Mus musculus: one gene and its partner. The protein of the gene in region 2 purifies or fractionates together with the protein of the main gene of each other region. This does not show direct contact. Links are inferred from orthologs where the notes say so. Each region holds a gene or a part of one and is shown on either strand. Other genes may lie near its edges.

What was found.
Region 1: the proteins of Cul4b (region 2) and Dcaf11 purify together in Homo sapiens (affinity purification with mass spectrometry; 9 studies listed by BioGRID and IntAct, counting the BioPlex papers as one, with this or other methods). This does not show direct contact. The link is inferred for Mus musculus from reciprocal best matches to the Homo sapiens genes CUL4B and DCAF11.

The regions. Positions count from the first base shown.
Region 1 is NC_000080.6:55,558,780-55,562,837, forward strand, and holds the start of Dcaf11 (DDB1- and CUL4-associated factor 11), read left to right. Parts: upstream 1-1,249; 5' UTR 1,250-1,342; intron 1,343-1,661; exon of another isoform or gene 1,662-2,430; 5' UTR 2,431-2,508; coding exon 2,509-2,663; intron 2,664-4,058. UniProt on the Homo sapiens protein: May function as a substrate receptor for CUL4-DDB1 E3 ubiquitin-protein ligase complex.
Region 2 is NC_000086.7:38,534,682-38,538,196, forward strand, and holds part of Cul4b (cullin-4B), read right to left. Parts: intron 2,594-3,515; coding exon 2,441-2,593; intron 1-2,440.

The sequences.
Region 1 (4,058 bases), on a different chromosome or scaffold from region 2:
GTTGCTGGGATTTGAACTCAGGACCTTCAGCAGAGCAGTCGGTGCTCTTAACCACTGAGCCATCTCTCCAGCCCTCGGTTATTTTTATTTTATGAAGAACTGCAGCAACATTGGGTTTTTGTTGTTGTTTGGTGTGTATGTGTGTGTGTGTGTGTGTGTTCAATGTATACACTGAACCCAGTATATACAGAATGCCAAGCAAGCACTCTCCCATAGAGACATATTCCTAACCCACTAAAAAATTCATTTCAGTGGCTACCAGGTATTTTTATAACTGTACAAAACTGACCATAATTTATTTAACCAACCTCTTATTGTATATTTGGATTTCTTTTATTTCCAGTATCCCACTATTATCAGTGATTGTTAAGCAGAACATACATTTTTATGTAGGTCCAAGTTTGATTACAGATAGCAGTATCACTAGGTCACAGTTTAGGGCTATGAGGGCTGGCTAGGACTGGTTAAAAAGATAAAGCATCTCTCAGATTAGACATTCTGAAAGGGTGTACCAGTAGAAATAAGGCACTTCTAGGCACATTTGATTGGCAGACAAAATTTTCGAATGAAGTAAAAAGACAATCAGGTTGGGAAGTCTGTATTTGAAGTAATAAAAAAACGAAAAAACAGTCAGCTCTTAAGAACGAAATACTTTTAAGAGTAGACTTGAGCAGATCAAGGAGTGGAAGAAGTCTGAAATGTGGAAAAACAGCCACTGTGAAAATAACCTCAAGTAATCAGTTAAAAAATATCTACAGAACTTGTAAGAACTAGAAGAGTAATAAGGAAGGAAAAATACTAAAATTATTACAGACTTTCCAGGCCAAATAACCCAAATACCTAGGAATCCTGAAAGTTCCGTGTATGTTTGAAATACCTGTCCACATAATTAATGGAGACCAGCCAAAGAACAAAATGCTGGGCGCTTGTTTACAGTTAAGAATTTTAAGGCAGTGACAACCTGCGTGGATCGGGAGAAAATGTTGGGGTCTCCGGCCTAGAGACCAGGAAACCTGACACAGAACCTGTCACATGCTCGCCCCGGGAGCTGAGGTGTCCTCGCGATGGCCCACCTCTGGGCCAAGGCCGACATCGCCCGCCTCTCTGGCCTAGGAAACCATCCCAGACAAGGTAGGGTTGGCCTTGGACTCACCCTAGTTACTCATAAACCAACGGGAGGTGGCGAGCGACAGAAGCCTAGGGACGGTCGGCAAAGCCCAGACCCAAGGGGCGCGTGCGCACTAAGGCAACCGGAAAGGCTCCGGGGACGGCCGCGGCACTTAGGGAGCGTATGCAAAGACCAAGAAAGGAAGCCAGGGGTCGTCAGACAAGACCCCCGCTGGTAAGCGTGTACACAGCAGGGTGGAGAGGCCCAGGTCCCACCAGTGAGGACTGCTTTCGACAGGCCGCTAGCGCTACAGCCAGGGGAAAACGGTTGAACTGGGGTTGCTGGGAGCTGAGGGAATAGGAGCGATTGGGCACGCAGTAAAAAACAAACAAACAAACAAACCACTCGAGGCCAAGCGACCTTAAGGGACCACCTCGCAGACTTGATGTCTAGTTCCGCTACGTCTAATGCAGGTCGCAGCCAATTCCAGTCCGCTACGACTAAACGCCCCTCTTGGGTTGAGCAAGTTCCCCAGCCCACCTATCAATCACAGGTCTCAGCTATCCAATCAGAGGGCCGAGGGGGAGGGACTGCTTGGAGCGTCGAGTGACGTCAGCAGGCCTGGCCGCCAGAAGCGTGACGGACGAGGCTCGCGACTGAGGAGCTGTTAGCCGGCGCCGCAGCGATAGTCGCTGTAAACAGGGCCTCGCCCCTGCGGGTCCTGCGACAGCTCCTGGCTGGTGGGTGGTCTCGCGTGGGGCGGTAACCGCCAGACGCCGGGGGGAGGTGCTTCTCCATTTTCCCTCCCCCTGTTGTACACACCCCCGGCGCACCACGTGGGCGTGAAGCTAAACTGGAGGGGGTGTTAGGCTGACTTCTAACCTCATTGGCTGTTGATGCTGCCGGCCCGTGCAAGAAATTGCTCTGATTGGTCAGTAGAGGGAGGCGTGGGGGGGGTCTGAGTTCTAACGCCTCTGGTTGGTTGTGTGAGATAAGCTAGTGAAATGCGTTCTTCCGCAAGGGGTTTTGATTGGTCAGTCGGAGAGGTTATCTGGGATTCAGCCATCCCGGGCCGGGGACTTTGATAGGTGAGTTTGGTTAGGAAAATGGGAAATTCCTCTTCGTGGACTCTGATTAGTACGGTAGGGTTGCACCCTAGGTTTCATATGGCTTTCTTTGCTTCACAGGATTGAGAAAGGTTTATGTTCCCGATACCCTGGGAGCTGTCATAGCTAAAGAGAAGGAAATCTCAGTCTCCTGGAGGGGTCACCCCTCTAAAGATAGCTTCTGCCCCGTTTCTGGAAACCCTGGTATTTCTACAGCAGGCTTTGCTTTCACCAAACCCAAGTTGGAGACAGGAGCAGCCCCTGCGCAAGACATAAGGATGCTGTAACCAGAAGATGGGATCACGGAACAGCAGCAGCGCCGGATCCGGGTCCTTAGAACCCTCTGAGGGCTTGTCCCGAAGAGGGACTGGCCTGCGTCGTAGTGAGGAAGAGGAAGAAGAGGATGAAGATGTGGATCTGGCCCAGGTACTGGCCTATCTCCTCCGCAGGTAACTTACCCTCTGCTGTGACACTAAGTGTCACAATGTCTTGACCTCAACTTCAGGCAGGAAAAGTGCAGAGGATAGGGAATGGCATTGTCCCAGGACAATGGTTGTGTTTGAACAGAACGACCTTTCCCTGCTGGATGTCCATACACTCTGCGTGGCTCCCTACCCAAAATGGTTCTTACAACTCTCATAGTTGAGGAGCTCCTAAGGGAAGCCTTTTCAGCTGTGACAACACAAATGTCATCAGTTTTCCAAGAAAATAAAACGAGAGAAGGGAGAGGGATTATGGAGGAAAGGAGAGATGTGAAAAGAGTTGGGAAGGGGGTGCTAAGTCACTTGCCATGTGAGATGAAGCCATGTGGATTTACTTGAAAAACAAGTTTACATCGGCCTTACTAGCCCTGCTCTTAAGAAAAGAATGCCCTCAAGGGGGTGACCACCAGGAACTAAGAACGTTTTGTTTGCTTGCCTACGGTTCCTTGGGAAAAGATGAACCTAGTATCCCTGCAGACCCTGTGTTCTGTGTTGCGTTCCTACACCGACGGCTGTGAGGGTTGTTGTTGTTGTCAGCTGGACAGAGTCTGAAATCACCTGGGGGACACGGCACACCTGGGCGGGATGGATTATTTAGCCTCTCTGGGCAGGCCTGGAAGGGATTATGGCGATTGGGTTCATTGGAGCAGGAAGACCCACTCTGAGCGTGGGTGGTGCCATTCCCATGTGGGTCCTAGACTGTATAAAAAGGAGAAAGCTAGCTAAACCCAACCATTCATCCCGCCTTCTTCCTGACTATGAGTGCTGTGTTACCAGCTGTTCCTGGCCCTGCTACTTTGATGGCCCCGCTATGACAGACTCTGCCCTTGAGCCATGAACCAGAATATACCTTCTCTCACTTAAGGTGCCTTTGTTGGGGTATAGAAGGAAAAGTGGAAGTGCTCTCCTAATTCTTAGCTCTTGAATTCAGGATATAGCTTTGTGGTAGAAGCTTACCCAGCATGCACTGAGCCCCTGGGTTCAGTCCTTAGCCCTGGGGGAAAATTATATTTAGCCCTGAGAGAAATCAATTTAGTAGGTCAGTCTTCATAACCTGTTAGAACTCTGTGTTCTTACTCTTAAGAGTTAAAGCTGGTTTCCTGCTGTGTCTTTTTTGTGTGTTTGGGGTTGGTTGGTTTGTTTATTTTATTTTTGAGTCAGAGTTTCTCTGTGTAGCCCTGGCTGCTCTGGAACTCACTCTGTAGACCTGGCTGGCCTTGAACTCACAGAGATCCACCTGCCCCTGCCTCCCAAGCGCTGGGATTAAAGGCATGCGCCACCACTGCCTGGCCCTACTATGACTTGTAGGAGACTTAAAATCCAATTTCAAAAGGAGAACCAACTGACTAAGAGCCAGATAGC
Region 2 (3,515 bases):
GAAATGCCTCACAGAGACACACAATTAGAAATACTATCTTTTAATAAATAGTCTTGCATTGGTAATTACACTTATCTCTTGAATGAATGACCCTAACATAAATAAGTATCTCTACATCACTTACAATACCTGAGATAAAAAGGAAAAGAAGCCAGGCATGGTGGCACACGCCTTTAGTCCCAGCACTTGGGAGGCAGAGGCAGAGGCAGGCGGATTTCTGAGTTTGAGGACAGCCTGGTCTACAAAGTGAGTTCCAGGACAGCGGGGGCTATACAGAGAAACACTGTCTTGAAAAACTAAAAAAAAAAAAAAAAAAAAAAAAGGAAAAGAAATTGAATATTCAATACAGATGCAAGATTTTGTTAAGATAAGAAGCTTAAGTAATATTGCTGCCTCAGCTGGTAGCTAAGAGTACATGTCCCTACAGACAGTGAATGCATCTCTTTGGAGTGTGTGTGTGTGGGGGGGGAAGAGCAAGCCCATGGGCATGTTTGAGAGAGGGTCTCTCTTTGTAGTTCTGGCTGTCCTGGAACTCACCATGTAGACCAGGTTGACCTACAATTCACAAGAGATCTGCCTTCCACTGCTTCCCAGTCAGCTACTGCATTCTTTTTCTTTTCTTTTCTTTTCTTTTCTTTTCTTTTCTTATTTTTTTGGTTTTTCAAGACAGGGTTTCTCGGGCTGGCGAGATGGCTCAGTGGGTAAGAGCACCTGACTGCTCTTCCGAAGGTCCGGAGTTCAAATCCCAGCAACCACATGGTGGCTCACAACCATCCTTAACAAGATCTGACTCCCTCTTCTGGTGTGTCTGAAGACAGCTACAGTGTACTTACATAAAATAATAAATAAATCTTAAAAAAAAAAAAGACAGGGTTTCTCTGTGTAGCTCTGGATGTCCTGGAACTCACTTTGTAGAGCAAGCTGGCCTTGAACTCAGAAATCTGCCTGCCTGCCTCTGCCTCCTGAGTGCTGGGAAGTGCTGGGATTAAAGGCGTGCACCACCACGTCCAGCTCAGCTACTGCATTTTTAAAGAGTGTTTTTCAACCTTTGGTTTGTTGAATTCACAGATATGGAATTGATAAAAATGAAGGACTAACTTTGAAGCCAGCCGTAGAACACAGTAAGACCCTATCTCAAAACCAAACCAAACCAAACCGGAAAAAAGGAAGTAAACTTCCATCTAATAGCCCCAGGTTTAAGTATCATGTTGGTTTCAGTATGATCAAAGTTCTAGTTATTTCTGATGTTCTAGCATTAATAAGCAATCTTGCTGTAGGTAAAATGATTAGGTGAGCATGTATGCAGGTGTGGTAATGAGGAAGCAGTTTCAAGTTTGAAGAAGCAGCCTACCTTGTAATAGTGGAAGTAACAGCTACTACAAGTAAAACCTCAATATATACTAAACTCATGATCAAGTGTTTTATACTTCCTATCTCAATAAGCCTCAAAATAATACTATAAGGGATGCAATGGTGGGTCTATGAAGGGGAAACTCGAAAGGGGGATATCATTTAAAATAAAAAAACGAATAAAATGATTAATAATAGAAAGTAATAATACTAGGAGGTATGTATATCTATCAATTCTGAACAAGCTCAGCAAAATTAAGTGACTTATCAAAGTCCAAAGCTGCCAGGAATCCTAACAGCCAGGAGTCTAGGCAACCTCTATCAAATGTGTATCACAGACACTTTAAAATGTTTTACAATTTGAACAATAGTCTAGTACACCACCACATTGTCTAAGCACCTTTGCTACTGAACATTTGTACTGGGCCATGCCCATATTGACCAATTCAGGTTTACTAGAACCACTGCTAGACATTTTCAAAACAAACAAAACGTGCTTTAACATTAAGATATAGCCAGAAGTCTCTGTAACAGATTTTAGTAAATATTTATACAGGTAACCAAGTTTAAGATATAACTCAGTCTAATAATCAAATCTGTCAAATGCCAAGGTATCTCCAGAAAAGAAGATTCAAAAGATATATAATAACTAACTCAAAAATTTCAAAGTCGGGCTGGAGAGATGGCTGAGTAGTTAAGAGCACTGACTGCTCTTCTAGAGGTTCTGAGTTCAAATCCCAGCAACCACATGGTGGCTCACAACCATCTGTAATGGGAATCCGATGCCCTCTTCTGGGGTCTCTGAGGACAGCTACAATGTACTTAGATAAATAAATCTTTAAAAATAAAAATTTCAAAGTCACATTTACTCACTAAACTTTCAAGTACAGGGAGTGGCTTTTGTAAACTAGTTCTCAATTTTGCTAAACAAAGTTCTTTTGTGAATCACATGTACAAATATAGAAAATGAATACATGTTGTTCCAAATGGCTTTAAGTCTTTCATCTTATTTGCAAGATTAGTGTCTAAAAATTAAATGTATTTCCTTTCACCTATAATACATTCAGTGTGGAGACACAGAAATACCTACTTTAACTGGAAATTTTAGCTGATTGTAGACTTCTGAAACAAGAAGATTGTGGCTAAGTGTTTTTCTCATCTTCATAATTCGAACGATCGCAGCATCAATTTGGTACTGTCTGTCTTGAAATACTCTTTCTGTAGTGCTTGCTTGTTCTTCAACCTAAAACAAGTTTTCAAATAAAGTCAAACTTAATTAGGAACAAACTGTATATTAGGAACATAACAATGATACTGTTCTAAAGAGCTTGACTTATCTAAATGAGAGGAAAAAAAAAACTTAACAAACATAGTTCCTTTCTGTTGTCACTACTGCTCTGGACCAATAAAGTAATGCAATACAGAAGAGAAAAATACCACCTTTGAGCACTGGGAAGTAGAGTCAGTTGGTCAAGTACTTTCCCTGCAAACATGAAGATCTATCTCTTAAATTTAGATTTTTGTGAACTCATGTAAAAACAAGATCCCTAGAATACCCGATGGACATCCTGCCAGCCTAATTAGTGAGTTCTAGGCAAGTAAGAGACCATGTAAAGAAACAAGGTAGATAGCGCAAAGGAATAACACTGGAGGTTGTCTACTGGCCTTCCCTAAAACGTAAAATGTTTATATCCACTGATCCAAAAATTTACTTCCATAAATTCTTTTTAAAAATGTTTATTCCTATTTCATGTGCACCGGTCTTTTGCTTGCATATATGTCTGTATGAGTGCAAAAGATCTTCTAGAACTGAAATTACAATTAGTTGTGAGCTGCCATGTGGGTACTAGGAACCTAGTTTCCCTGGAACAGGCTAACTCTTGCTAAGTAAGCCATCTCTCCTCCCCCATGAAGTCACTTTAAGGAAAAGATCAGAGAGATTAAGATTTAGGTATGTTCAAGATTATATAACTTTTTAGCATTCTGTTGATTTTTTTTGATGTGTGTGTGGGGAGGGTATGCCTATTATATGAGTGTGGTTGGGGACATGAGAGGACAACCTTGGGCATTGGAGCTCAGGTACCTTTCTTTCATTTTCTGTTTGGTCTCTCTTATGAGCTTGGAACTTTGTCCTATAGCCTAGGATACCTGGTCCATGAGCCTCC